Linked DNA regions of Nothobranchius furzeri. The protein of the gene in region 2 interacts with the protein of the main gene of each other region in a pairwise test. Links are inferred from orthologs where the notes say so. Each region holds a gene or a part of one and is shown on either strand. Other genes may lie near its edges.

Region 1 (4,970 bases), on a different chromosome or scaffold from region 2:
TTTTATAAACTTTTAGAAGTCTTTCATGCATCAGTGTTAGCTTGACTGGGTACAAAATTTCTTCATGAATATATTTAATAATGTGTTTGCTGAATAACATGATATCACACAACAGGTATCTTTTATGAAATTCTACAATCAGAACAATCATTCGAGCAAGGAAAGGAATCACACAGCTGGTCTAGAGGAGACACAAACGGATGGAGGTCAAATAGATTAAATTTGCTAGAACTCACAACAACTTCTAACTATATTACATTTTCTTTTCAGTTGCCCAACCTTTTATACAAGTTAAACCCATTTTTCTACTCTATGCAAGAAACCTTCAATAAAAACTAAAACTATATCTGACTTTAATATATCTTCTAGTCTCTGGCCAGTGCTGTTTGATCAGTTTGTAAACACACACACTTTAATTGGCTGTCACCTAGAATAAACTTTAAATCTCAAAATTCCAAAAGAAGAAAATAAAAACACAAGTAAGTTGAAGAAGAAGAAGAAGAAGCATACATTAAATTAGCTGGCACATGAGTGCACATGAGCAAATTTTACATTCCCAAAACATAAATTGCACACATTATTACAAAAACAGCAAGACAAGATGTTTTAAAAGAGTTGATATTACTGCTGATCCTCTGGGTCCTTACCGAGGAGCAGAAGTCCAACCGACGAAAGATAGCAGCTCTACTGATACGAACATGCCCAAGAAGTATATCATCCATAGTAAAAGTTAAATATAAACTGTTAAAGTCAAAGTTCATGTAGATGAACCTTTTTATTTTAAGTTGCACCAGAGCACAGCCATTGTCATGGTATTGGGTGAGTGGCTTCTAACCAGTTCCTCAAAGTGTATCTCTGCAAAGGTGCAGTGGTACGCCTTCACTCTGTTGGGTGATTGGTATTGTAAAATTGATATTGCTGGTCACCAAGATGCAAGGATGTTTCAGCTCAGTGGTCTAGTGGTATGAGTGCCTTGGGATTGGGAGATTGGGGTTTAAATCCCGGCCGAGTAAAAGACTTGATGCTTTCTTGCTTGACACTCAGCAATAAGGGTTGGAATGGGGGTTAACGCCACCAATTGATTTCAAAGTATTTTATAAATTACTCTGTGGAATGGGACCAGAATGCATGTTGGATCTCCATCAGGTATACCAGCTCTGACATTATGAAGTAGTCAGCTGGTAGAGCCTCAGGACAGAACAAAACAGGGTGAACTTGTTTCTTGCTACTATACACACAGATGTAATCAGCTTCCTCGTGAGCTCAAATGTGCCACAACTCTAGTAACTAATCAAAATTGAAAACCTTCATGTTTTCATCAGCTTTTGAATGACTGTTCTTATGCTGAACATTCTGCATTATATTTGCTTACCCTTTAATCTTTTAAATTGCATTTTCTGACACGTTTATTTTAATGTTCTTGCTATCCTCGCTAAGCAATTGCCTCTGTGGCTGAAATGCGTTATATAAATAAAGCTGCTTTGTTAAACACAGATAAATACATAGATTTATTAAGTTTTAGTTGTTGAGTAGTTTGTATAAGTTATGACGTTCTGCCCCTTAGACTAACTATGCCGTTAAAAATTGGAATTTTCTAAGCGGTATATTTAATTTTGAAGGAATCTACAGAAAAAGCTACCCAAATCAGCAAGCCTGTTATTTGTAGTTCGTTGGAGATTACAAGCGCGGCACACTCGCGCATGCGCAATACACAGAATAGACGGCGTAGTCGGGGAAGACGGCTAGCCATTTTGGCGTCAATACAGCAAATCGAAATATAAATTATTTGCTCGTCGAAGGTAAGTGGAGAGCTGTACAGTCGATTATAAAGTAAATAATGGTCTTAGCGATTCATATAGCTGGTACAGCAATTTTAATATTAAAGTTGTTTGGTTTTAACCTCCTTGTATCCGTGTAAGTAACTAGCTAGCAGGCTAATGCTAGGCTACACGAGGTTAAGGCGCATTTTCGTAAATATAAACACAAACGTGGATGAATCTGCAAGAAGCAGCAAATGGGATGTTGTTATGTTGTTCCGTGGTATCGATTAAAATGTAAATGTAGTTATTTGTCTTATCTCTGTTCATGGCGCACGTGAAACGCCATTTGCTACACACACTACCACGGACATGAACGGAGGCCATTAACCGGCCCTATCTCCTGGTTTCAGTGGGTTGATGAAAATTGTTTGAATTACTTCTGTGTCGTAATTTTATAAGATGTAGATTAATTAAATTTAGAACTCGAGTTCATACACAGATTGATATAATTTACAGAGTTTATAGAAATATCCAGAAATAAGCAAAGTTAACGTTAGTTTTCTCTTCTTGCCCACATTTAAGTTTTGTTCCCCCCTTTTCTTTCTCTTTCTGCTGATAGGCATTTGGACCATTAAACCATCGGGCACTGAATACAGATCATCTGCCTTCAAGTTAAGGTATGGTTAGGGTCTGTACCCTATAAATACATACATAAATAATTAACTTAATGTTATTTTTTGGAATATTCTTTTAGTTGTGCTGTATGGATGTTTTGACTGAAAATATCCAACAATTTATTTTAAAAGCATTTCTAATTGCGTTTTACATACCTTCGGAATAAAATATTTCCTGAGTTTGAGCAACAAGAATTTGTGATCTTGTTGATCTTAAACTTCTCGCTTCATTTTGACAAACTCGCCTGCGCTGGAGTGGACTCTGCCGTTTCAAGAGAAGAGGATCTTTTAAACAAATGTCTATTCTTTGCGTTTCAATTGAAGTGAGTCCAACAAACGAGTAAAAAATTTTCATCGGCTGAATACATTTTCACTAACTTAATAAACTTGTGAGGTATGGTGTTCTAGGGCTGCTCGATTATGGCAAAAATTATGATCACGATTATTTTGATTGAAATTGAGATCTCGATTATTTAAGACAATGTTTAAATTAATGTTGGTTTTTATTCTGTCATAAAATTGCACAGGGCACAATCAGGACAAAAATAAACAAGAAAAAGAAAGAAACAAGATGATCACAAAAACAAATCCTGATTCCTAGTATAAAAAGGCTAATGCACTTGCATGTAGTTTATGATCCAAAGAGTTTAGGCTGAGGTTTAACTCATTTAAGGGAGACCCAAATACTCAACCCAGGGTTTCCCTTACATAGGCGTAGCCCGTGGCGGCCCGCCACGGCTGAAATCCCACCGCCACGCCTACAAGATCCCAAGTTTTTTTTTTTTTTGCACTGTTTCCCAAAGAAGCAGCGGGAACTACTATGTCGTCGCTTGTGATCACAGCCGGTGGGCAGCAAGGAGCAGGCAGGGCTAGGTGAAGTTACAGCATAAGTTACTGAGTTTAAAATTAGAAAGGTAGCAGTGGATATAATGCTTTTTGGTTTACATGTTTCAGTAGCATTAAGATAAACAAGTGTTGACGATCTTGACAGGGTTTCCTCCAGTGCTTATTATGCCAGGTTCTCCTCCCCCCACCAGGTTAAGCATCACTTATTCATGTAAAATTTATTTATTTTTTCATGTCTGACTTTAACCGCATCTAATACTGTATTACGGCGTGAGCTCAACAGCGACAACTTAAGATCGATGTGTGAGCAGCGTGAGAGGTCGGGTGTTTTCATCTGAACCCTTACAACCTCCAGCAGGCTACGCTGCACTATTGACGTGTTAGCGCACGGCGCTAACAACTTAGCGACGTGACATGTCTCTGAGAAAGCGTAAAAACACGTTGGACGCTTCTTCTGAAGCGGGAAAATAACACTTCTTCTTAAGCAGAGCACGACGTCGCCTCGGCTCGTTCACAGCCGAGCCGGACTGAGCTCGATAACATTGACCCAGCACAGCCACTGGGTCGTTGGAGCTGCCCCGTGACTGCCTGATGGAAAACCAGCAGGTTTTATCAGACTCGTAAAGTTTATTGTTTTTGCTGGGGACCCCCTGTATTTTACCGCTCCCTCCTGCAGTCTTCCCCTATTAAAATTTAAAATGATTCTGTAAATTCCGTGTATCAATAGAAAAAATATCTGCCTCTGCCAGCTGCAGTAAATGTAGTCTCCAAATAATAAATAAGAGGTGCATTCGTCTGTGGATCTCCTTTGATCCGCATGAGTGATATTCTCAGCACCAGAACAGTGAAGCAAAGAAAGATTCCCGAGTTTGTTAGTAATTTTATTTATTAGGTGCATCTAACCTGTTCTATTTTTCTCTGAAATGAGATCAAATCAGTGCTTCTATGGGTTGTCTCCACTCTGCACTGGAAAATTTTTACTTTATTTAGAGACTACACTGCAACCAATATGTTGCAAACGATGACAGGAAGAATTATACAGTGCATTTATAATATAAAATAAATGAAAACATACAAACATCAATATTTTAGTGAAGTTCACAAATTTGCATAATTTAATTCTCTCCAGCAGTGCTGTAGGAGTGTGGCAACGTGTCGCTCAGAGATATAAATTATTATTTCAGTGTGAGGAACTTTATCTATTTCTAAACAATTTTTTTTTACAGGCTGGCTCTGTTAGCCTTTTCTTTTGCGACCGACACAATATGACATCCCTTTCCTAAAATGTCCGGAAGGACGGTCTGGAAAAACAGGCTGTGTGTTTTGCTAACCTGCAGAAATGTAGACTATTATTCAGAAAGTAGCTGAAGGTTACCAGAATTGTTTCTAGGTTGTTTGCTGGGTACTTTTAGAAGTTAAAAAGTCAAGAAGTGGGTCTGAAAAGCTTTAGGCAACACTGTGGGAGGAACGCTTGATTTGCAACTCACAGCAGTGCAAGTGGGAGGAGCAAATAATCATCATGTTTTTATAATCGTTCAAAACTCAGACCGTAATTGGGATTAAAATTCGATTAATTGAGCAGCCCTATGGTGTTCTAAAGTTTTCTTGATTTCTCTCAAACATTTGGTTTGAGGATTGGAGAGCTTTTTCTCACCATGAACACTGTGTTTTGCAATTAGTACAAGTTAGT
Region 2 (4,485 bases):
GCAAAACGCGCTGGATACCAGCCCTCGAGATCCGCAACTGAATAGCCCTGCCTATAGACACCAGAGAGGACATACAGACCTATGTCACACTGTAAATTAGTATTCATGGACTCACCCATGTTGGCTCGCAACCACGAGTGTAGAATTTTGCAATCAGGAGAAAGCAGAGCGCATCTTGGCTAGTAGAAACTTAGCGTTAGTAGCAACTCCACAACACGGTGGAATAGGTTCAGATTTGTGGTATTTGTGGGGATAAAATATCACTGTTGCAGAGAAAACGGAGACAGTGGAAGAGTCAAATTGTTGTTAGCCAATCAGAAGCAAGTTGACTGCATATCATAAATATTCATGAGTAAGACTTCAAATCCAGCAGTTTTCAGTTCTCCACTTCTTCAGCTAACTTCTACTTTGACACAAATGACTCAAGGCATTCATCCATACTAGAGACAACAAATGTAGTGAAAAAACAAGTGCGGAGCAGGCGGAGGGAGACTAGGGGTCTTAGCCACCTCTGTTGTTGTTGGGCTTCCTGGGGCTGGAGGCTAGGAGGGAGATCTGGCCGTCTGGTTGGGGTCTGGGGTGGTGGGTTGCCGTGCTCAGCGTTGGGCGGGGGAGCCTGCTCATCAGCACCCCAGCAGAAAGGGTCAAACTCTGGTTACCGGTGATGGTTGTACCCAATGTGCAGCAGTACCGGGACCAGAGTGAATAGGGTGTGTATGGGGAGCATGAGTGGGTGTCCGGCGTGCATTTTTGTAAGTCCTTGGTTGTATGTGCATGTGTGAGCATGAGGGAGGGAGTGTGTGACTGTGTTTGTGTATGACTGCATATGTCAGGTGGGGCCTTTGGGTCCTCCCCTCTCCTGGAACTTCTTTTGATGATATAGATCTTTGTCCTCCCTCCCCCTGCCACACCTGGTGTGGGGGCTTGTGCCTTGGTCTGCCTGAGTGTTCGTGGCAACCGGGTCTGGGGGTTTAAGATTTTGGCATCTGCCTGATAGATCCTGGTGGCTGCCTGGTGGGGTCTGGGTCCCTGGGCTATGCTGGGTCCCCGGCGGGGGTGGTCGCCCCTGGGTCCCGGGTCGCTGGGTCCCGGGTTCGGCCGGCTAGGGGGTGGGAGGCTGCGGGCGGGCCTGTGGGCTTGCCGCTGATATCTCCAGGGACTCTGCCGGCTGCTGGTTGTGGCCCCCCGGGGCGATCCTCTGTGCCTCTCGAGGGGGGCGGGGGCCTTCCTGGTTGCAGTCTCCTTGGGGTTCCTGTGTTCTGGGGCAGCGCCTGGATCTCTGGGACTTGGAGCTCCCCCCGTCTCCTGCGCATCTTTGGGGGGCGGATCTGTGGTCCCTCACACTCTCTGTTGGACGCTCCTATAGAGAAACCTTAAATAAACAAGCGCGTGTACACACACAGGCGCTCACATGGTGCTCTCAAAAGTATGGACTTGGGCAGGTATAACACAGGTCTTAAGACTATGGTGGGCACTTAATGCACTGTGATTTATTATCGTGATTCTTCAGTTAAGCAATGTTGATTTTATATATATATATATATATATATATATATATATATATATATATATATATATATATATATGTTGTTTTTTTTCATCAAGTTGACGCAGTGATAGCTTGATCTTGTTGTATTGTTGTTGTATCCCTTTTTTTTGTGTCCTTTTGTTTTTGTTTTTTTTTGTCTTTTTCTGCAGGTCTAGAAGCAGACTCTTATTCATTATTGTTTATTTCTTGTGGAACCCCCCCCCCCCCCCCCCTCCTCTCCCCACCTTTTCTTTTCCTTTCTCTTTCACCTCTGTCTCCGTGTCTGGTCGGAATTACAACGCATTCAACAACAATAACAATAAAGTTTTAAGTATCAGGCGTGACATTAAAAGCAAACGCTTTGATGCTCCACCTGAGAATAAATCTGTAAGGCTTGTCACCAGCATTCAGACATCAATTCTGCTTGCTTCACAGCCAGACAGGACACGGTAATAAAATAAAAAAAAGAAAGAAAAAACAAGTGAATGGGAGCTTTAAGAAGAAACATTCAGTACAATCAAGAATTATTAGCATTTCTATGCCATAAAACACACTAACAGTAAATTTCACTTCAATGATCCAAAAAGCAGCTCGCTGATGGTTTTGTTATTTAGATTTTTATTTATTTTTTTGCTGACAGGGTTACGATGACAGATACGATGGTGAATACGACGAAGATGGTTACGAAGCCTACGACGAGGACTACAACAGTCAGTCAAAGAGGTAACGTTAGTAAACAAACCAGTGTACAGCGTCCGTACGGTGACTTATTTTCATGTTGTGATATTAAAGTGAAAAATTTACTAGAGAAAAACTTGAGACTGATTAGTTGGTCCAGATAGCTCCCCCGTTTATTAAAAACATATCAGTGAGCGACACAAGCAACACGAGCACAGACAGCAGTAAGTCCCAGATTCAGCATCTTGCTACTGAAGATCCTCACTGGAGCACCTAATGTGTAATGAATTAATCCACAGATGAAAATAGTCTTAAGCAAATGTTTTATTTGCACATCCTTGAGAGGAAGTTTCTAAACCCGACACAGCCCATCTGTTGTAGGATTATTGAGTCCTTGTATGGAATAAACTACACATTTATGTAGCTTCGGCGGCTCCGCTGGGTTCAGGATTACAGACAGTGCTGATAAGAAGGGGATGATAGGAAAACTGGCTTTTTTGCTTTGCAGAATTCTGCAAACATCATGTCTGCTTTGGTGTGTTACTTAATCATACTTGAGCTGATGCTCTGTTCTGTTTTATTCAGCATTTCAGAGTATTATGAATACGGACACAGCACCAGTGATGAATCCTACAACAACTATGGTGAGTGCGGCTGATTATGTCCTCGGAGGATCTTTGTTTTTGGTGCGTTGAAGATCAGTGACCTAAATATGAGTCACCCTCATTTTCATGTGTCATCCTTTTTGTTTAATACAGGCAGCCGCTCAGTGTAGTGTTTAATCTAGCACGAGTGCAGCATAACCCTACGATTAAAGCAGAAAAATGGGTTGATTATTTGATTAGACCATCTATAAAAATGATTTGGGTACTTTATAGAGGCTTAATTAAGTTCTTTATCACGCAACAGTGCCTCACCATGTACCTCGCTCCTAAATCTATCAGGACTAATCAAAAATTAAAATATGAGTTCACTGCTGCTTCACACGCTCAAGTCTATAGGAAGGTCTAGTGTGAAGCTGTGCTGCTAACGAGCCAGCACTGTTGTTTTTATAAAAGAAAACAATTCTAATTATCTACTATTATTGCTGGTAATTAACTGCATTCATGAGGAGAGTGTAGGATTTTATAAACGTCCGCATTAGCTATGTTGTTATTTGAAAGGCACGAGACAAAGAAAAATTCAGTTCCAGCCCACTTCCTGACCCAGGGAGCCATGCTGCATGCATCAACCCTCCTACCTGCTTGGTTATGAGCTGCACCAACTAAAACCCTGAATGTGCCGGTGGCAGCTCGTGAAGCTAACCGACGCTTGCTGAGATGCTGTTTTGCCTTTTGGGTATGTGCCCTCAAAGGTCTTTGTCAGAAAGCTCTTCTAACCTCTGCTGTGTGCACATAAATCAATCTTGGATATATCTCCAAACAACCAGATATTTTTTAATATTTTTTTTTCTCTTTATCAAAGAGACCACCAATTTTCAAAGAAACTCTCTGAAGACTTTAGCAAGAAGAGCGTTAATGTAAGCACAAAGGTCACTCAGGAATTCAGGTGCAAGGTGTTGGTAGGTGGGTGCTGCTGCACATTTGAAGGTTCATTTATTCACAGGATTTTTAAAAAATCACCGAGGTGTCGAGGTTGACTCAAACCAAAACCAAGGGAGATATGATTTTATTTTCTGCTACATAAATACTCTCTTATTTGTAAACGGCGCAGAGTGCCATACAGCAAAGATGGCCATCTTTATGTAATTTAGCTCAGAGGAAAGAGCCGTTAATAGTCTAATCTCAGAAATGGTTCAACAAAAGGGCAAAAAGCTCATAAAATTTATTTCTTGCTAAGAGAAACCCCTGCAGTTCCTTAGAAATAATTTGCAGCCAGAATATCTTGTCGTTGCGTGCTGAAGTGCACCGTAAAAGGCTCAAATACAATACCATTGCCCCACAGTTAGCTGTATGACATGAAATTTCTCACCACGGTAATCAAATCATATTTCCTCAACGTGTCTAACATTTTTTTTGCAGAGGAAGAATGGACGAGCATCCGAGTCGGGCTGAAAGCTCCTGCTCTACGGCTGACAAGAGGCGGCTACAGAAAACATCCGTATGGTAGATACTGAAGGTGCTCCACACTTGTGATCTCCTACTCTCTTTGTATCTTTTTTTGTTCTCTTTTAAATTTTTCATAAGACGCTGTAACATTCACTTTATCGCCCATCAGCTTTTAAAACAAACAGAAACAAAATGCAAAATCCAACCTCTTGTGTTATTCTGATGTTAATT
Region 3 (5,003 bases), on a different chromosome or scaffold from region 2:
GAACTGGACTTAAGGATGTGAGCAACAAAAGGAGCTTTACCTCACGTGCATTGGCCTACTTTCTTCACATTTGACTTAGGCAAGAGCAGCTTTTCATCTCTGAGCACTTGTTGGCAGACGCAACACTTCACTCTCCAAGGGCTTGGAAGATTTTTGAAGGAGCAGAGTTTTTGAACGTTATGCAGCAGTGACATGAAAATAGGACGACCCCCACCATCTCCGTGTACTTAAATACCCCAAACCTGAGCCAAGTTCCTCAATGAAGACTTCACAAACAGATCAAATGAGAGAACCTAGATTTTTACATGTAGCTGTGGTATTAAGCTAATCTCAAGTTTAGCTTGTTCAGTAGTGCAAGTGGCTGTCCTTCTCCAATCCAGCAGGATCAAGAGCCATTAGTTTTACTTCCCCATGCGATCATTTTGAACAGGCAACGGAATCAGGATCATTTTCCACATTTTGTTTAATAGGCTCCATGAAGCCAACGAACAGGAAAAAAAAAAAAAAGTTGGATCATACAAACATAAGTACAAAAATGTTCCCATTTATATTTAAACTCTGAAAAACGAAGTTACATTTGCGATCACTTTAGTCCATTTTACAGCACATAAACTGCAGAGCACAGAAGATACCTTGGACGGACTGTAGCATGTTGCATTTTGCAACTTCATGAACAGCCGGCCGCTTCGGAAGTGTAGTTCACCAGTCTGGAAGGAGTTCTTTTGGGAAATTTTAACAAAAGCTTGGACAAACTAAGATTCTCATGAAGGAATTTAACAATTAAAATCCCAAAAGTTCTAGTTAAGAGCTCCTTACTCAGTTAAAAATAAAAAACCAGGAGGTAGGTCAGTCTTAGGCTAAAGAAGAAAAAAACTTTAATTTAGAAACTGTATTGCTGGACAAAAGAAATCTCCAGCCACTGTAGCCGATTTACCAGAAGCCATGTGGAGAATTGTTTCAGCCCAGGACTGTACAGGAGTTCACACAAAGTCATGAATGATCAGAGGATGCCCAATCAAAGATCTCTGAACTGCATTTGTAACATGGTTTTTACCAAAATTCAGTTTCTTCTGATGCCAAGCTACTACAACAGAACTACATAACTAAAGTCAATAACACGTGGACATTTTTCTTGAGGAGCGCAGCTTTCAAATACAGCCAGCCAAGTGATGGATCTTGAATCAGGGTGACGTTTACTCGTGTGCTGGAGGATAAGAAGTGGGCACAGGTAAAGACACTGGAGTTTTACAACATCCCCTCAACCCATCAGACCTAATCTCAAAACTCCTTTTTTAAGAGGCTCCGTCAGTTGAGAAATGAGCAGTTTGAGAAGGCATTTGAGTTGGTGCTTTAGTTTCCGCCAGTCTTCATGTGAAACCGGGCAAAACTGGCAACAGAGGCATTTACTTGGGCTCAGGTACAAAACTGAAGGGCACACTTATGAGGCAGGAAATGCTAGGGCTGTGAAGCTAGCCTGAAGGTCCCTCAGATGAAGTCCATCAACATACTTTTTACAATTCATGTAAACATTCTGTAGAGTCAGCCCCAAACTTGAACTATTCAGTTTAACTACAGCTTACCATAGCTGTCGTATCCATCACGATAGGATCCTGATCGGTCACCATATCCACCCTGTCCCCTGAAGGTCAGAAACAGAAGTAGTTAGTGCTGTGGTCCCTCCTAAAGTGCAAATGAAAATCTGTTGTCCGACTACTGACCTGCTCTCTCTGTAGCCGCCTGAGGAGTATCCTCCTCCACCACCTCCACTCCTGTATCCACCACCAAAACTCCTATCACCACCACCGAAGCTTCTGTCCCCGTAACTTCTGTCTCCATATCCTCTGTCGCTGTTGTATCCACCTGTTAAAGACACTTTGTCATAGTACTGCAAAGGGACATTATAGAAAATATTTGTTTATATAAGTGTGTGGATATTTTTTAAGATAGAAAACATGTACTAACCTTCACCTCTGGAGAAGCCTCGTCCGCCTCTCCCCCGGGACCCGCTGCTGAATCTGCCGCCTCGTGGCCCTGAGCTGAATCCTCCTCTGGAGCGTCCACCTTTCCCCGCTTCATCAACACGAATGGCACGACCATCCAGAGTCTAACGGAGAAAATTGCCATAACATTACAAACATTTACATACCAGTTAATTTGCATCAATAACCCTTTCCCACAATCCCAACTTACCTTTCCGTTCATGGCGTCCAACGCATCCTTTGCATCATCAACATTATCGTATTTGACGAAGCCAAACCCACGCGACCTTCCAGTCTCTTTGTCTCTGATCACATCAACTAAAAAAAAAATAAAAAAATAAAAATAAAGCACAATTTAATGCAATAGAATTTAAAACTTACGTAAAACAGAAAAAAACAATGCGGCGCTTCTACGTTCTTTACCTTTTTCGATGGTTCCATATTTTCCAAAGGCGGCGGCCAGAGAATCCTCGGTGGTCTCGAAGCTCAAACCTCCGATAAATAACTTGCCTTCGTCAGACATTGTGATCTTAAAAAAGAAAAAAGTTTAAGTGCTTAAATATGACAATTTCCTTAATTGGTTACAGAACTAGAGCAGGGTGACGCAGCATTAAAAAGTAGGTCACCATGCCAGTTACAAAATGGCGAACACGTTGCGCAGATCCGCAGTACCGTTCTGCGATTTAGCGGCAAGTTAAAACACGACAAAAAACAAATGGGAACCTCTTTGGTGAACGTAAATAATTGCTAACAAAAAGAATAACGCATTTTTTACTATCTGCGGAGCCATAAATATGCAAAATATTGAATGGAAATCGAGGCCAGATGGCGTGCTCTTCCTTCCGGCGCCATCTTGTAGCATAGCGCTTCTGTCTTCTTTGTTTCAGTGGCCCACTTAGCATGTAGCTCATATTTCCAACACGATGACCCACTTTCAAGGTTACGTAAATAGGCCAGTACATCAAAACATAGGCAAACTGCTTTTACATATTTTTAGTTAAAACGTCGTAATTCAGCAGACTAGGTCGGCTTTTTTGCTACATAAAAAACACGAGTTTAACGGTTTTATCCAATATCTCAAAAATAAAATACCTAATATTCACGAATCATCAACGCAAGCACCGTTATTTTTAAATATATTTTTCAAACTTAATGAAATTACGCGGAAAAAAACTTTACCTTTTGTTTGAGCTTGTGGGAGCGACAGAAACGGAGCTAAGCAGCAAGACGAGTGAGGAAGAGGAAGAGGGGCGCTTTCTTTTAAACCTTTGCTGCGCTTCTTCTGGTGTTTCGCAAATTTTAAACTCATTACTGCTTCCTACTGGTCAAAGTACGGTATTACTGCCAGTTACGATTACTTAGGATGCGTCTTTGTTACTACCTATCTGTACAATTAACTGTTATTTGGTTATATTTGTAAAACACTGACTGCTTGTTGCTAGTAGCAGGAATGATAATGTAGTTTAGTGTAATTTCTAAATGGAGGTTCCCTTTGTGAAACGCAATCATTGTAAATCAAAAATATCTGTTGCTTTAGTTATTGGGAAGTTACACGTTTAATAATATTTTAGAATTTTGTAAATTTACCTATTCAATTGTATTTTTTAAGGAAAACTTGCTCAAATCATCACATCCATTGAACATCTGACAATGTATTATAAAAAGGAAATAAATTAAGAGATCTCATGAGATATTGTGATTAATAAAAAAAATCAAGGATATTTTAAAAGGGATTTTCTAGAGATTGCCTTGTGACACAACCTGTCCAGGGCGTACCCCAGCTTGTTTGCCCAAAAGACAGCTGAAGATAAGCACCAGCAGGTATAGAAAATGGATGGATGTTCTACAGCAGTTATGAGTAGTCAGCATATCTCACCTGCAGAGTGGTCTCAGTGTGACGAATCAGGGAGAAATGTAGTGTTGCGTCATCCGAAAGAGGTCAGAGGCAATTTGTCCTTTTCCTGATGGTTCAAGCGAATCATCCTAATAATAAATAATACTGAGAAAGCTATCATTTTGATCTGTAACGGCATCTTTGACTCACAGTTTGAAAATTCAGTTTTCATTTATTTGGTTGCATGTACATCTTATTTTTCTTTCAGAAATGTGGACTTTATCTTAGACAACACAAAAAAAAAAATAAAACAGTCTGATGAGAGCAACTCTTGCTCTGCATTCAAGGTAACAAACAAAACAAATAATTTTAATGTGCAATTTATTTTTTATACAGACAAAACCATGGCTGAGTTGAGATGAGATAAAGACACACATGAGATTTGGAGACAAAAACATTGATTTTAGACAGCACTGTGCACATTAAAGGTCTCAGCAATGAGGTAGAAACCCAAACCAGTGGATCACCCCACCATTTATATTTACAGTGTGATGATATAATTATCTAGCCTGGCAAGCCAGACTAAATAAATGTATTATTTAGTCTGGCCACGATCCATTGACGGCTCTCGGTTGTGGGGCGGGTTCTACCGTTGTCTTTCAAATGATCTCCGCATTCCACTGGACAATGAATGTGACTCTTGTTTCACTCTGTTGCATCATCCCACCCACCAGGCACATAGAGTGCCCTGATTGGCCCACAAAGCGGATAAAGCTCTGTGATTTGTTCACTAAGCAGATAGAGCACTATGATTGGCCCACAATTATGGACCAATCACAGCTCTTTATGTGTTTGAAACCCCTCTAGAGAGCTGTGATTGGCCAGCCAGAGTCCTGGTAGAGCTGTGGAGGTTCCAATGGAGCATGCCTAGACCAAACTTTGCAAAGCAAGGATTTGGTCTAGTTCACTAGGCTAATAATTATCAGCTACATTCATTGTTCCTACATCCAGATTCTTCATCCCTCAGTCCATCAGGGCTTCTTGAAACCACCTGGTATTTATCTAAGAGGCTGAAGATAGGAGGAACCAAAGAGAAATGTTAGCAAGAACCAAAAAAGTAATTAGCATCCAAACAGACACGAGTGTGACAAAACCTCATAACACACATTTCACAGAGGCCTACATAAAAT
Region 4 (5,254 bases), on a different chromosome or scaffold from region 2:
TATTAACCCCAGAGGGAAATTAGAGCCTGTAAAAGGTCATTTTAGCACATACTGGCTCATGAAAATTATTTTAAAACTACGAAAAAGTTGCAAAGTATCCCTTTATATAAATGTTCTTGTGTTATTAGGAACTGAAATTTGACTAGTGTTTTTTTTGTATTATAGAGTAAGACTTACTAGCTTCACAGCCTTTTGTGCGTCATCTTTATTGCAGTATGTGATGAAAGCATAACCTCTGTTCTGACCAGACAGGGGGTCCATCATTAACCTGAGGTCCCAGATGGCACCAGCAGACTCAAACAGAGGCACAAGCTCATCTTCATAAAGATCCCTGGGGATTTTCCCAACAAACACCTGAATAAAACAAAAGAAACAAACACACCATCAATGATATCAGCATCTAACTGAGTGAAAATTAGAAACAAAGTGTTTTTAAGTAGTGGATTGGTGTAGTCAACTAAAAGTCCAAGTCCAACCTAATAGTCCATTTCCAGAAATCACTAGATTAACAATTTGGGCACATTTTCAAATGTCTTTCATATTTTAGTTATAATTAAGATCAAAGCTCTGCTGCATTTTGGTCACCATGTATGAACAGAGTTTGCAGAAAATTTCATCACTTTATATATATATATATATTAGGGCTAGGGGTAAACGATTATTTTTAAAACGATTATTCTGACGATTATTTTATCGAATAGTCGACTATTCTAATGACTATTTAGAAAATTAATCTAATGATTATTTTTCTATTGCACAATTAACAAAAACCAGAAAATCTCAAATAAATTCCTCAAAAAGAATTGATAAATTCTTACTGTAAGAGAATAAACACTACAGGCCTTCCATTTTGTATAACACTGTGTTTATTGTGTTGGTTGGTTATGTTCTGATGACGTGTAGAACTTGGGAGTGCAGGCTGCTGCCTGAGAGGTGGTAGAAGATGGAGTGTCTCCATGCTGCTTTGTTTTGGTCACTTATGTGCGTGAGGCGAGTGGTCTTACGGGTTAAACCAAACTCAGGTGATATTTTACACTAAACCGAAAACCCACAACACTCTAAATGTAATAAAAGGGAGATCTACACCACAAAAAATATGAACTCTAAACCAAAACGTAACAGCTTATCCCAACGCAAGAAGCTGTTAGCGAAGATGCTAACAGTAGCTTTACCAACATTAAGTTCAAGTTACCAAGTTTAAATAAACCAAAAACACCCAGCAGCAAACAGACCAGCATGGAGGAGAGACTGCTACCACCAAAACAGCTCTCCTCATGTCTGAAAGAAGCTCCTTAATGAAGGGAGAAGCGCTCCCGGTGATTTTCTACATCTGCGATAGACACGAAGCAGCGCATCTGACCCCGGAAGTTGTTGTCCGTTGCCGGGAGACGAAGGGGCAAAACAGGAAAATAATCTAGTAGTGGACGGACGTTGTTCCGGGTCTTCGGTATTTGGCGGAGATGTTAGTGAAGGCGGAGAAGAGGGCGAACTAGAGGAAGAACAGGCAGATTCCTCCTCTATTTACAAACTCCTGGGGATGCAAAAAGTGGGCGCGGTGCGTCGACTTCCGGATCTGACGTCGACAAATTTTTAGAATCGAGCCGTCGACTTCGTCGAGGCTTCGCTACAGCCCTAATATATATATATATATATATATATATATATATATATATATATATATATATATATATATATATATATATGAAGCACTCCTACCTCAGTTCCAATCCCTGGTTGTGAGCCTGTGTATACGTCCTCAGGTGGAGGGCCTCCATATTTTCTCTGCCCTGTAGTCACGTCCAGAGTGTATCCTGTCCTCTCCAACAGAGACTTAAAACAAAAAACAATAACTAAACATTAGTTTCAGATCTAACTTTAAAGCTCACTTTTAACATTTCATACAAATGTGCATAAAATAATTCACCTTTATTTTGGACTCATCTGGACCCTTGGTGGACTCTTGTACCTTGCTTCCTTGTTTTTCCCTCTGTCTGTATGTTTTCATGACTCCACAAAGGAACGCACTTTTATTCTACAAAAAAATTATATAAATACAAATGAAACATAAAGCACTTTGGATACAATCACAGCTTCAGACAAATATTAAAATGTTACCTATAAACATGAATACCTGCACATGAGATAGGTCACTCTCTTTGAATTGCTGCAGCACCGTGAGCGCTCCCTCTTCATTGAACTCTCGCAGAGCATCAATGGCCCTTTCGTCCAAGTCAACATAAGCCACCAAGCCTACAGTAAATTTTATATACATATGTAAAAACACATACACACACACACATATAAAACAAAATGTCAAACAATTTGGAGACATATATATATATTTTAATTTAGCAGCTCATTTTGGAGCGATTACTGACCTGTCTGGAAGATGTTATCTAGACTTTCAGCGACTTTCTGAGGCAGCCCAGCATCAAGTAGTGTTTGGTAGTTTTCTGTGTGTGTTATTGACACATCCATTGGCTCTTCTTCCTCCTTTAATGGAGCAGAACTCCCATTCACCTCAGCAGCAGCCATTCCTCTGCAATATAGCAATCAAGAGAGACATGTCTTTTGATTAATCTGCATTTGCGTAATTATTTTACTTATAAAATCTAGAGATCATATAATAATTTGCGTTTTCAGCCTGTAGCAAACAAAAAATACTCTCACTTCATAGATTTCTTGCTTTTTGATCGCAACTGCTGACATTTGCTAATTCAATTAATTAAAATTGTTGTATATGCTATTAAATGAAGGATGAGATATAATATATATATATATATATATATACACGTTTACATAAAAAATAGCCAGGTTTTCAAAAAGAAACAACAGATAGCTACAGCCCCGCCTCCTTCGCATGCAGCCCGCTAACTAGCCAGATAAATACGTTTAATTCTGATATTTACATGCACGTTTTAAAAGAAAACGAACTCAATTAAAACTTAACAGAAGATTTAATGACTATATTTCAAAGCAAGATGGGGATTTCAAAATGTGCCTTTTCAAGTAGCAGCGATAGTTAGCCAAAAAGCTAACTATCGAAGCTTACGCGCAGGCCTCGCGGTGCCGACAAACGCCTCTCACATATCAAACACATAAAAGGTCCAAACTGATAGTTAGCAAAACTTACCAGCCTGATTCAGGAAGCCAATTACACCGTGGTTTAGCGCGCGAAATTATTAATTTTATTAACGAACGAAAATGCCCAAACAAAGTGTACTTATATCTCTACCACGAGACAATTTTTCCAGACACCAACGGTCTCGTCGTCGGCTCGCCCGAACAACGCAACCGCTCAGCAAATATCGCGAGACCAGAACGAGAAATCATTGAAGGGGGTTTCATGAGAATCATGGCTGCCGTGGTTTCTGTTTCGCAGATACGAACAAAAATAAAACGAAAAACTACGTATTAGCAGGCAATACTTGCGGTGAAGTTGTGATCCCGACTTCTTATATTCATTTCGCAGCATAACGAATCAATTTTGTGATTTCATGAGTATTTTCTGGTCCATTTGTATTTTGTCTGTTTAATTGAATTATCCTCGTTTTGTTGTACTTTTACACTAAAAAACAAAACATGCAGTGTGACTGCAACAGGTAATTTTACTTCTACTTAAAATGCACGATATCTGTATGCAGATAGTTATTTTCTCAAATTTTAAACTGATGTTCAAGATTCTGTTGAAAGTATGGAAAACATACGTTCACAACACTGATGATGGAAAAGAATGCTTCCTTTTTATCCAACTGCTGAAAAGGGATTTTGATTATCTTGGAAGAAACAAATGCACATGTTTTGAACACCAAGCCAAATGTTTAAAAATCCAAAGCGAATTAAATGCATATTTTGACAATGTAGGAAGATTAATCACTTTATTATTTCAGCATGATGAGTCAGAAGGACCTTTCATGACTAAGACCTGCAGAAAGTACAAGTGATAACGACATGTTCACAAGCGGTTCTACTCAGGAAAGAATTGACAGTTGGCCTCTCCCCCTTAATCGTCGTGCGTGAGCTTTCTGATTTTGCCCTTGTGGCGGTCGATCTCCTTCTGTAGGCGTTCAATCTCCTTTTTGTGGTGCTCGATCTCTTCTGAATGATGCTTCCTTAGTGCCTCCAACTGCTCCCGTTCCTTCTGCCTGCAAACAAATGCAACACAGAGACGGTCAAGAAAACACAATACAATGAAAGTAGTAGTACAGTATTATCACTATGCCTGGCATCTCACCGGAAGTACAGCTCCTCCTCTGCTGCTTCTCGCTTTCCAAAGGCACCTCCTGCTGACCTCACATAGCCTCCACCACCACCACCTTTCCCTGCTCCCTTTCCCAATTCACCAAGCTGGAAAAAAACAATATTTTTATGTGATTGTAAATCTCACACTAGGAATGTGCTTTATTTTAACACTTTCGGTTATGCATCACATATCAAAATGTTTAATTAATCTAAGTTATGAGAATCCTCAAAATACCACCTGAAGTTCTTTGATATGAAGTAGGGCTGGACGATATGGAAAAAATGCCCATCACCACAATATTTTTCATATCAGCCAATACTGACCAAACTATTTTTGGCAATTTCTATTACCCTGTATTATTAGGGGAAATCTGAAGCATGCATTTCACACTAGCCGGTTCGGGTGCTAAAACAGATTAGTGATATTCTCAGACTTTGTTCGAACATGCATTTTATATCATTTAGAGTGCACCTTACATTTATCGGATGACTTTAAATAGCCTGTATATGTCAACACATTTGACACCGATGCAAGTTGCATTTTTCTCCATTTTTCTTCTTTTTTTCAGGACAGTAATTTTTTTATCTCAATTTTTCAGTGGTTACCTGATGTAAACATTAGCCATCAGCTTGTCCAGCTGCAACTTTTTAAAAATTCTTCCTTTGCATTTTTCCTTTGTCCTAATTTTATTGCAATATAATTAAAAATATATGTTCATCATTTTTGTGAAGTGCCTTGTGATTTCTATCTTGAGGCGCTATATGAAAAAAATGGTTTATTCTTCTACTGTGCTGTCTGTGTGGCTCTTTTCCAGCCTCATGATTGGTTCAACACAGAGCAACTCTAGAATTAAGCTATGTGAAAGGCTAATAAAAAAAAAGTATATAAACTTTTCATTTATTGAACTTTTAATCTGCCCCTTATATATGTATGTAGTTAATGAATTACCATCCAGCCCTAATATAAAGCATAGCAATCTACTTTAATGCATTCTAACCAGTTTTTAATACT
Region 5 (5,116 bases), on a different chromosome or scaffold from region 2:
GAAATTCTAACTTCCCAGTAGGAAAAATCTAATGAAAAAAGACGGCAAAACGAATGAAGATACACAGTAAATTTAGTTCACAGTAAAGATGTTTGCTTCAGATTAATTATCAGCTTATAAAACTACAAGGACAATGTTAAAATACAAACAGTTGTATGTTATTTATCGTGATATTTATCAAATATTGTTATATATTGAGAAAAATATGTATTTAATTATAAAAGAGAATTAAAATAGTAAACACTCAAAAGTATCAAAAATTGGTACCGTTAAGTACCGGTATCGATCCCTAGGTACCGGGAATTAGTACCGAATCGATTCAAATGTCAAAGGTGCCCATCCCTAAGGATGAGTCTGAGGAAGATGTGTGTGGAGGTCAGTGGTGCTCTGTCCTGGAGGAGGTACCAGCAAACCATCACGATTGTTAACAGGCAAGTCATTCATAGAGATGTAACAGCCGTCATCTGAGCCAGCCCAGCAGTCCCTGTAGATGGACGATGGAGTGGACAGTGAAAGGAAGCGTCCCAAAGCTCTCTCTGCAGACTGCCCTGTATGATGTTCCTCTGGCCAGAAACGTCCAGCCACGGGTCTGCTCCAGCCCTCCATCCACGTCTGGATCCTCCTGCAGCAGATCCAGCTGCACTGCAAAAGACTTCCTGCTCACTCAGTTTAAATAAATGATCCAGGAACAGAGTCAGTCAGGTTAATCCTGCTTTAACCGTACAAAACTGGTCCATACTGGTTTTGATCTGTAAATAAGTGTAACGTATTATAAATAATCTTGTCTCCTTACCATCTTTTCATTTTCTGTTCATGTAACATGTTCAAAAACATCTGTAATAATAAAACTGGTGATAAAATCAATGACCAGAAAGAGTTATCAGTCAGTATTTGTTTTAATAAATGTGCTAAAATATCAAACAGCTAAATGACATTAACGTGATGACAGTAGAAGGCCTCTCTCCCAGGAGGACCACCAGGTAAAGCCTCTCCTGACCCTGGACACCTGCAGTCCTACAGAGAAAATCAGGCCGTAGGTGACAAAAAGGCAATAAACACATTTTTACATCTATCCACATGAGAAGATAAAAATTATATTCTTCACACAAACACTTTTTACTTCATTAAAACGTGTCAGCTGTAAATCCCTGAATGTAAAACTGCTTTTCACAGCAGAACACAGAACTACTGTGGTCATGTGTAGCCCTAACCCTAAAACAAATGACAACTTTAATTCGCTACACACACACACACACACACACACACACACACACACACACACACACACACACACACACACAGGAATAACTACGGGACCCGCGATACAAGCTTGTTCTGGCTGATTTCTGCCCAAAATGTAATTTAAAAAACAAATACACGTACGAAAAATGTCTATAAACAGAACCGCTTTAAGCTTTTTACTTTTCTACCGCTAGTTTTTAAACAAACTTACATTTAAAATGTTGTAGCTCTCCCCATTTTCTTTTCCTGTTGAAAGTCCACAGCCGGGGGCGCAATGCATGCTGGGATACCCTTGTTCTATTACAGAAATCCAGGAAAACCAAACGATGATGAAGGATTAACCAATGGTGTTGCAGGTCACACCCACTGGCTTGACTGACGGACCGAGACATTCTGCTGTAAAGTCTCATTATGAAATAAATCAGCCATGGGAAAAAACAGAAATGAAAAAACAAAAATAAAAAATGAAATAAAAGCTGTCTGTTAAAAAGACGTTATGTATATAAAACTGAATGAATTAAAAGTAGCTCAATATTAAGTTGGATTATTATGAAAAAATGACTTTTGAAAAAAAACTTTATATTAATAAAGACATTTTAAAACAAGAATGAAATTCTTTCATAATATTGAGCTTAGATTTTACATAACATTCTGTTATTTCATCATTTCATTGTCAGATTACATGATTGTCTAGTATTTATTCATGTAGATATTTATTTCATAATGTCTTATTTATTTATTGAATTTTGAATACTTTTGAGTTCCATAGAATTCAAACCTAAGTTTGTGCATTTAGAGCATTTCTGCTTGGTTCAGCTGCTGCTTTAAACTCACACAAGTTTACTTCCTTCTTCCACCACTTCCTGTGTTCTAGTCTCATCTTTTCATAAAAGATGGAAAAGTCCTGTCTATCAAATGACTTTGTAAAGTTCTATTTATTTTTGCTACTCTTAATATATGCAGTTACTACAAGTAAAACTTTGATTACTTGGGCAGTGTAAGGTTGTGGTTAATCGGTATCTTCTTGGTAAAACTGAATCTTTTAAAGAATCAAATATTCTGCAACAAGCTGGTCAATCTCTCTTCACAGTCTGGATTAGAAGTCAGAAAATCTGTGTTCTTGTCACATTTTCAGCATGTTTCATATCTAATGGAAACACATGCCGAACGGCTTCATGTTGAATCACACGCCAGATAAACACTGGGCCGAGGTTGTGCTATCGCAGCTTAATGCCGCGTGGCCAGTCTCGAAGTTTTACCATGAAAACAGCAGAACTTCTAAAGAACTTTATCTTTTAGCATTTATCTTCATGCATCCTGTTTGTCTCCAAGGCGTAGAACTAACCCAGCCACATCTCTGTTGAATTTAATATTACCTAAACATATTCCTCTGCTTTAGCTCATTTCAGGGGTTTTGCATCAGAGTTAAATGGAAAATATAATTTGAGCATCTAAAGACATTTTAGTGAAAGGCTAAATCTGCACATCCTGCAGAGCCCAGAGGCCTTTTGCGCCTGCTCACTAAGCATCAAGCAGGAAGTATCATCAACTCTTGGTGCTGTTATCTGTCATTTACCATTTTTGATCTATCGTCATTATATCAAAAACTGATGCATCATAGAAGCTTTCTGCACATATGAATGAATGAATGAATGATCAGAAGCGCACAAGTGCAGACATTCTCACTTACCTACACCAAACCGCTTTGTGGACGTCCTCGTCCAGGGAGCCATACTTTGCTGTCTCTTGTATTTTTGACCCCCGTTCTGTTTTGATGTCTCTCACTGATTGTCTCTCTTCTGCATTTTTGTGTTTAAAATGAAAGCAGCAAGCCCATCCCCCTTTACTTTTCTTCCTCTTCTGTCTCTTCTCACTTCCTGTCTTTTGGCGGTTAAGAGGAAGTGGTGGAGTATAACAAGGTGGAGTCCTATCAAGCACCCGGGCCTGTGCAGCTTCCAGTTTACTCATTTAAACAGCATCAGTGAAAAAAAACAACTAAATAATGTCTCTAATATTACTTTTTTAATCTCCCCAGTTTCTAAGTTTCCACTTATTCCTCCTACACACCAAACTGCCAAATGTCCGTAATCTTTGATTTGTTTGAGCCATATCAACTGTCTGTCTCCTCACATGACCCTTGCTGTCTCCTCATAATGCAGCTCCGTCCAGGCTGTAAGGAGATACTGTAACTGCTTTAATGTAGAAGGTAAAGGAAAAAATAGAAGAGATACCTTTCAAAAAATTAGAGTTTGTTTCAGATTTTTTTTATTATCATATTACGAGATCAAAACAATGTTTCATAAATTAAAGTTTGGAGGAAATTATCACAAATTTGCTCCAGCTGAATTGTTTGTGTTTAATGAATCAAACTTCTGAACTTCTGCAGGATTCTTTGCATCAGTTTCTGTCCTTCTTTGGTGATTTTCATTTGTAAGGTCACTCATTTTATTGTTTAAGAGTTTTCCCATTTTCGCTATATTTTTAAACATATACGTAAACAACGTTGTTTCTTTTATACTAATGATTTATTACTAAAACCATACAGGAGGTGTGTTTGAATGACCATCAAAAGTTGCTCAAAGTTAGAACACAGTAAAATGGGGAGAAAAAAAGAGGTTTAAAGAACATTAAAAAGAAGATGTTCTAAAGGCATGTATTTTTTATCCATTGTCCTCCATTTATAATATCAAACAGCACACTGTCATATCTCAGTAGGTTTGACAGCATTAATGACATCCATTACCTAACAGTAAGGATCATAACAAGTATTCAGATTTGATCCTCTGAGACACGGTGGTTAAAAGAAACCCAGAAAACGCCAGCTGTGATCCTGCAATGCAGCAAACTGTCTTCATTTAAGATTTATGCATGGTGACACGTTGCCTCTTTAGCAGGAAGAAGCATTTCCAAAGCAACATGCAGCTCCTGGATGTAGCAGCTTCTCCAGCACCGGAGTTTTAAATGGAACATTTTATCTGAGTCTGACTCTGGTCGTTGTTTTATGGAAACATTTTTGAAGCTCACATTCATTTCTGGGATTTCAAAGAAAACAGTCCTTCATCAAATATGTATCTTCTCTGAACCCCTTCAGTTGGCGTCACCATGGAAACCATCCCATTCGGAGAACATCCTTGACGCCACAGTTGGCAGCATTCATAGATAGATAAGACCTTTAGGGTTATTGCTGGCTCACTCTCTTTACCTTAATCATGAGCTACAAGACAGATAAATAAAACCCTCCAAACTATGTCTCCAATCTAGAAAACAAAACTCATCATCAGACCCTCAAAAAATATCCATTTCCATGTTTGAATTGATTTATGGAAAATTATCCAAACCCTCTTATTTATTTTAGCCGTTCAACATTTGCTGCAGGGTGCAGAGTGTCTTCTAGTCGCTACAGCTGACCAAATCTTTTCAAATCCCAAACGACAGCTTCAAACTGCTCTGTAGTGGAAAACGTGTCTAATATCCTAAATGTAATCATTACGTCGAGAAACTTCAGTCATTGTTTCTCAAAACATGTTCATGAAGCTCAGGCCATTTATCATGTGGGTTAAATTGCTCGTTAACACAAATAGCTAATCAACCAATCACAAAGCAGCAACTCAATGCATTTAGGCATCTGGTGAAAATTATTTGCTGAAGTTCAAACTAAGCACTAAAATGAGGAAGAAAATGACTGAACATGACAAGATTGTTGATGGCAGATGGGCTGATGTGCTGGTATTTTCATCTGGAACCATCTCTACGGTTTACAGAGAACAAACTGGAAAAGTATCTTGTTGATGTCCGAGGTCAGAGGACAATGAGCAGACTGATTCAAGATGATTTAAGATGTATTAGTTCAAAAAAAACACTGGAATATGTTTAA

Evidence for each region.
Region 1: the proteins of khdrbs2 (region 2) and ncoa5 interact in a two-hybrid assay, tested with the Homo sapiens proteins (2 studies listed by BioGRID). The two-hybrid records come from large-scale screens. The link is inferred for Nothobranchius furzeri from reciprocal best matches to the Homo sapiens genes KHDRBS2 and NCOA5.
Region 3: the proteins of khdrbs2 (region 2) and cirbpa interact in binary tests that used the Homo sapiens proteins (3 or more experiments, as listed by UniProt). The two-hybrid records come from large-scale screens. The link is inferred for Nothobranchius furzeri from reciprocal best matches to the Homo sapiens genes KHDRBS2 and CIRBP.
Region 4: the proteins of khdrbs2 (region 2) and heterogeneous nuclear ribonucleoprotein R interact in binary tests that used the Homo sapiens proteins (3 or more experiments, as listed by UniProt). The link is inferred for Nothobranchius furzeri from reciprocal best matches to the Homo sapiens genes KHDRBS2 and HNRNPR.
Region 5: the proteins of khdrbs2 (region 2) and dock2-like interact in binary tests that used the Homo sapiens proteins (3 or more experiments, as listed by UniProt). The two-hybrid records come from large-scale screens. The link is inferred for Nothobranchius furzeri from reciprocal best matches to the Homo sapiens genes KHDRBS2 and DOCK2.

What each region holds. Positions count from the first base shown.
Region 1 is NC_091743.1:58,540,550-58,545,519, reverse strand, and holds the start of ncoa5 (nuclear receptor coactivator 5), read left to right. Parts: upstream 1-1,686; 5' UTR 1,687-1,799; intron 1,800-2,379; 5' UTR 2,380-2,437; intron 2,438-4,970. UniProt on the Homo sapiens protein: Nuclear receptor coregulator that can have both coactivator and corepressor functions.
Region 2 is NC_091752.1:19,510,526-19,515,010, forward strand, and holds part of khdrbs2 (KH domain-containing, RNA-binding, signal transduction-associated protein 2), read left to right. Parts: intron 1-2,168; coding exon 2,169-2,251; intron 2,252-2,791; coding exon 2,792-2,850; intron 2,851-4,227; coding exon 4,228-4,322; 3' UTR 4,323-4,485. UniProt on the Homo sapiens protein: RNA-binding protein that plays a role in the regulation of alternative splicing and influences mRNA splice site selection and exon inclusion. Binds both poly(A) and poly(U) homopolymers. Phosphorylation by PTK6 inhibits its RNA-binding ability.
Region 3 is NC_091751.1:56,697,071-56,702,073, forward strand, and holds cirbpa (cold inducible RNA binding protein a), read right to left. Parts: upstream 3,285-5,003; 5' UTR 3,159-3,284; intron 2,509-3,158; 5' UTR 2,503-2,508; coding exon 2,403-2,502; intron 2,298-2,402; coding exon 2,191-2,297; intron 2,105-2,190; coding exon 1,963-2,104; intron 1,861-1,962; coding exon 1,719-1,860; intron 1,640-1,718; coding exon 1,581-1,639; intron 1,205-1,580; coding exon 1,194-1,204; 3' UTR 446-1,193; downstream 1-445. UniProt on the Homo sapiens protein: Cold-inducible mRNA binding protein that plays a protective role in the genotoxic stress response by stabilizing transcripts of genes involved in cell survival. Acts as a translational activator.
Region 4 is NC_091759.1:6,952,301-6,957,554, forward strand, and holds the start of heterogeneous nuclear ribonucleoprotein R, read right to left. Parts: upstream 3,285-5,254; 5' UTR 3,134-3,284; intron 2,540-3,133; 5' UTR 2,536-2,539; coding exon 2,379-2,535; intron 2,251-2,378; coding exon 2,132-2,250; intron 2,033-2,131; coding exon 1,925-2,032; intron 1,831-1,924; coding exon 1,717-1,830; intron 355-1,716; coding exon 178-354; intron 1-177. Other genes in the region: atp5if1a (ATPase inhibitor A, mitochondrial), read right to left, coding at 4,004-4,145, 4,235-4,347. UniProt on the Homo sapiens protein: Component of ribonucleosomes, which are complexes of at least 20 other different heterogeneous nuclear ribonucleoproteins (hnRNP). hnRNP play an important role in processing of precursor mRNA in the nucleus.
Region 5 is NC_091741.1:92,146,091-92,151,206, reverse strand, and holds the start of dock2-like (dedicator of cytokinesis protein 2), read right to left. Parts: upstream 3,285-5,116; 5' UTR 2,976-3,284; coding exon 2,933-2,975; intron 1-2,932. UniProt on the Homo sapiens protein: Involved in cytoskeletal rearrangements required for lymphocyte migration in response of chemokines. Activates RAC1 and RAC2, but not CDC42, by functioning as a guanine nucleotide exchange factor (GEF), which exchanges bound GDP for free GTP.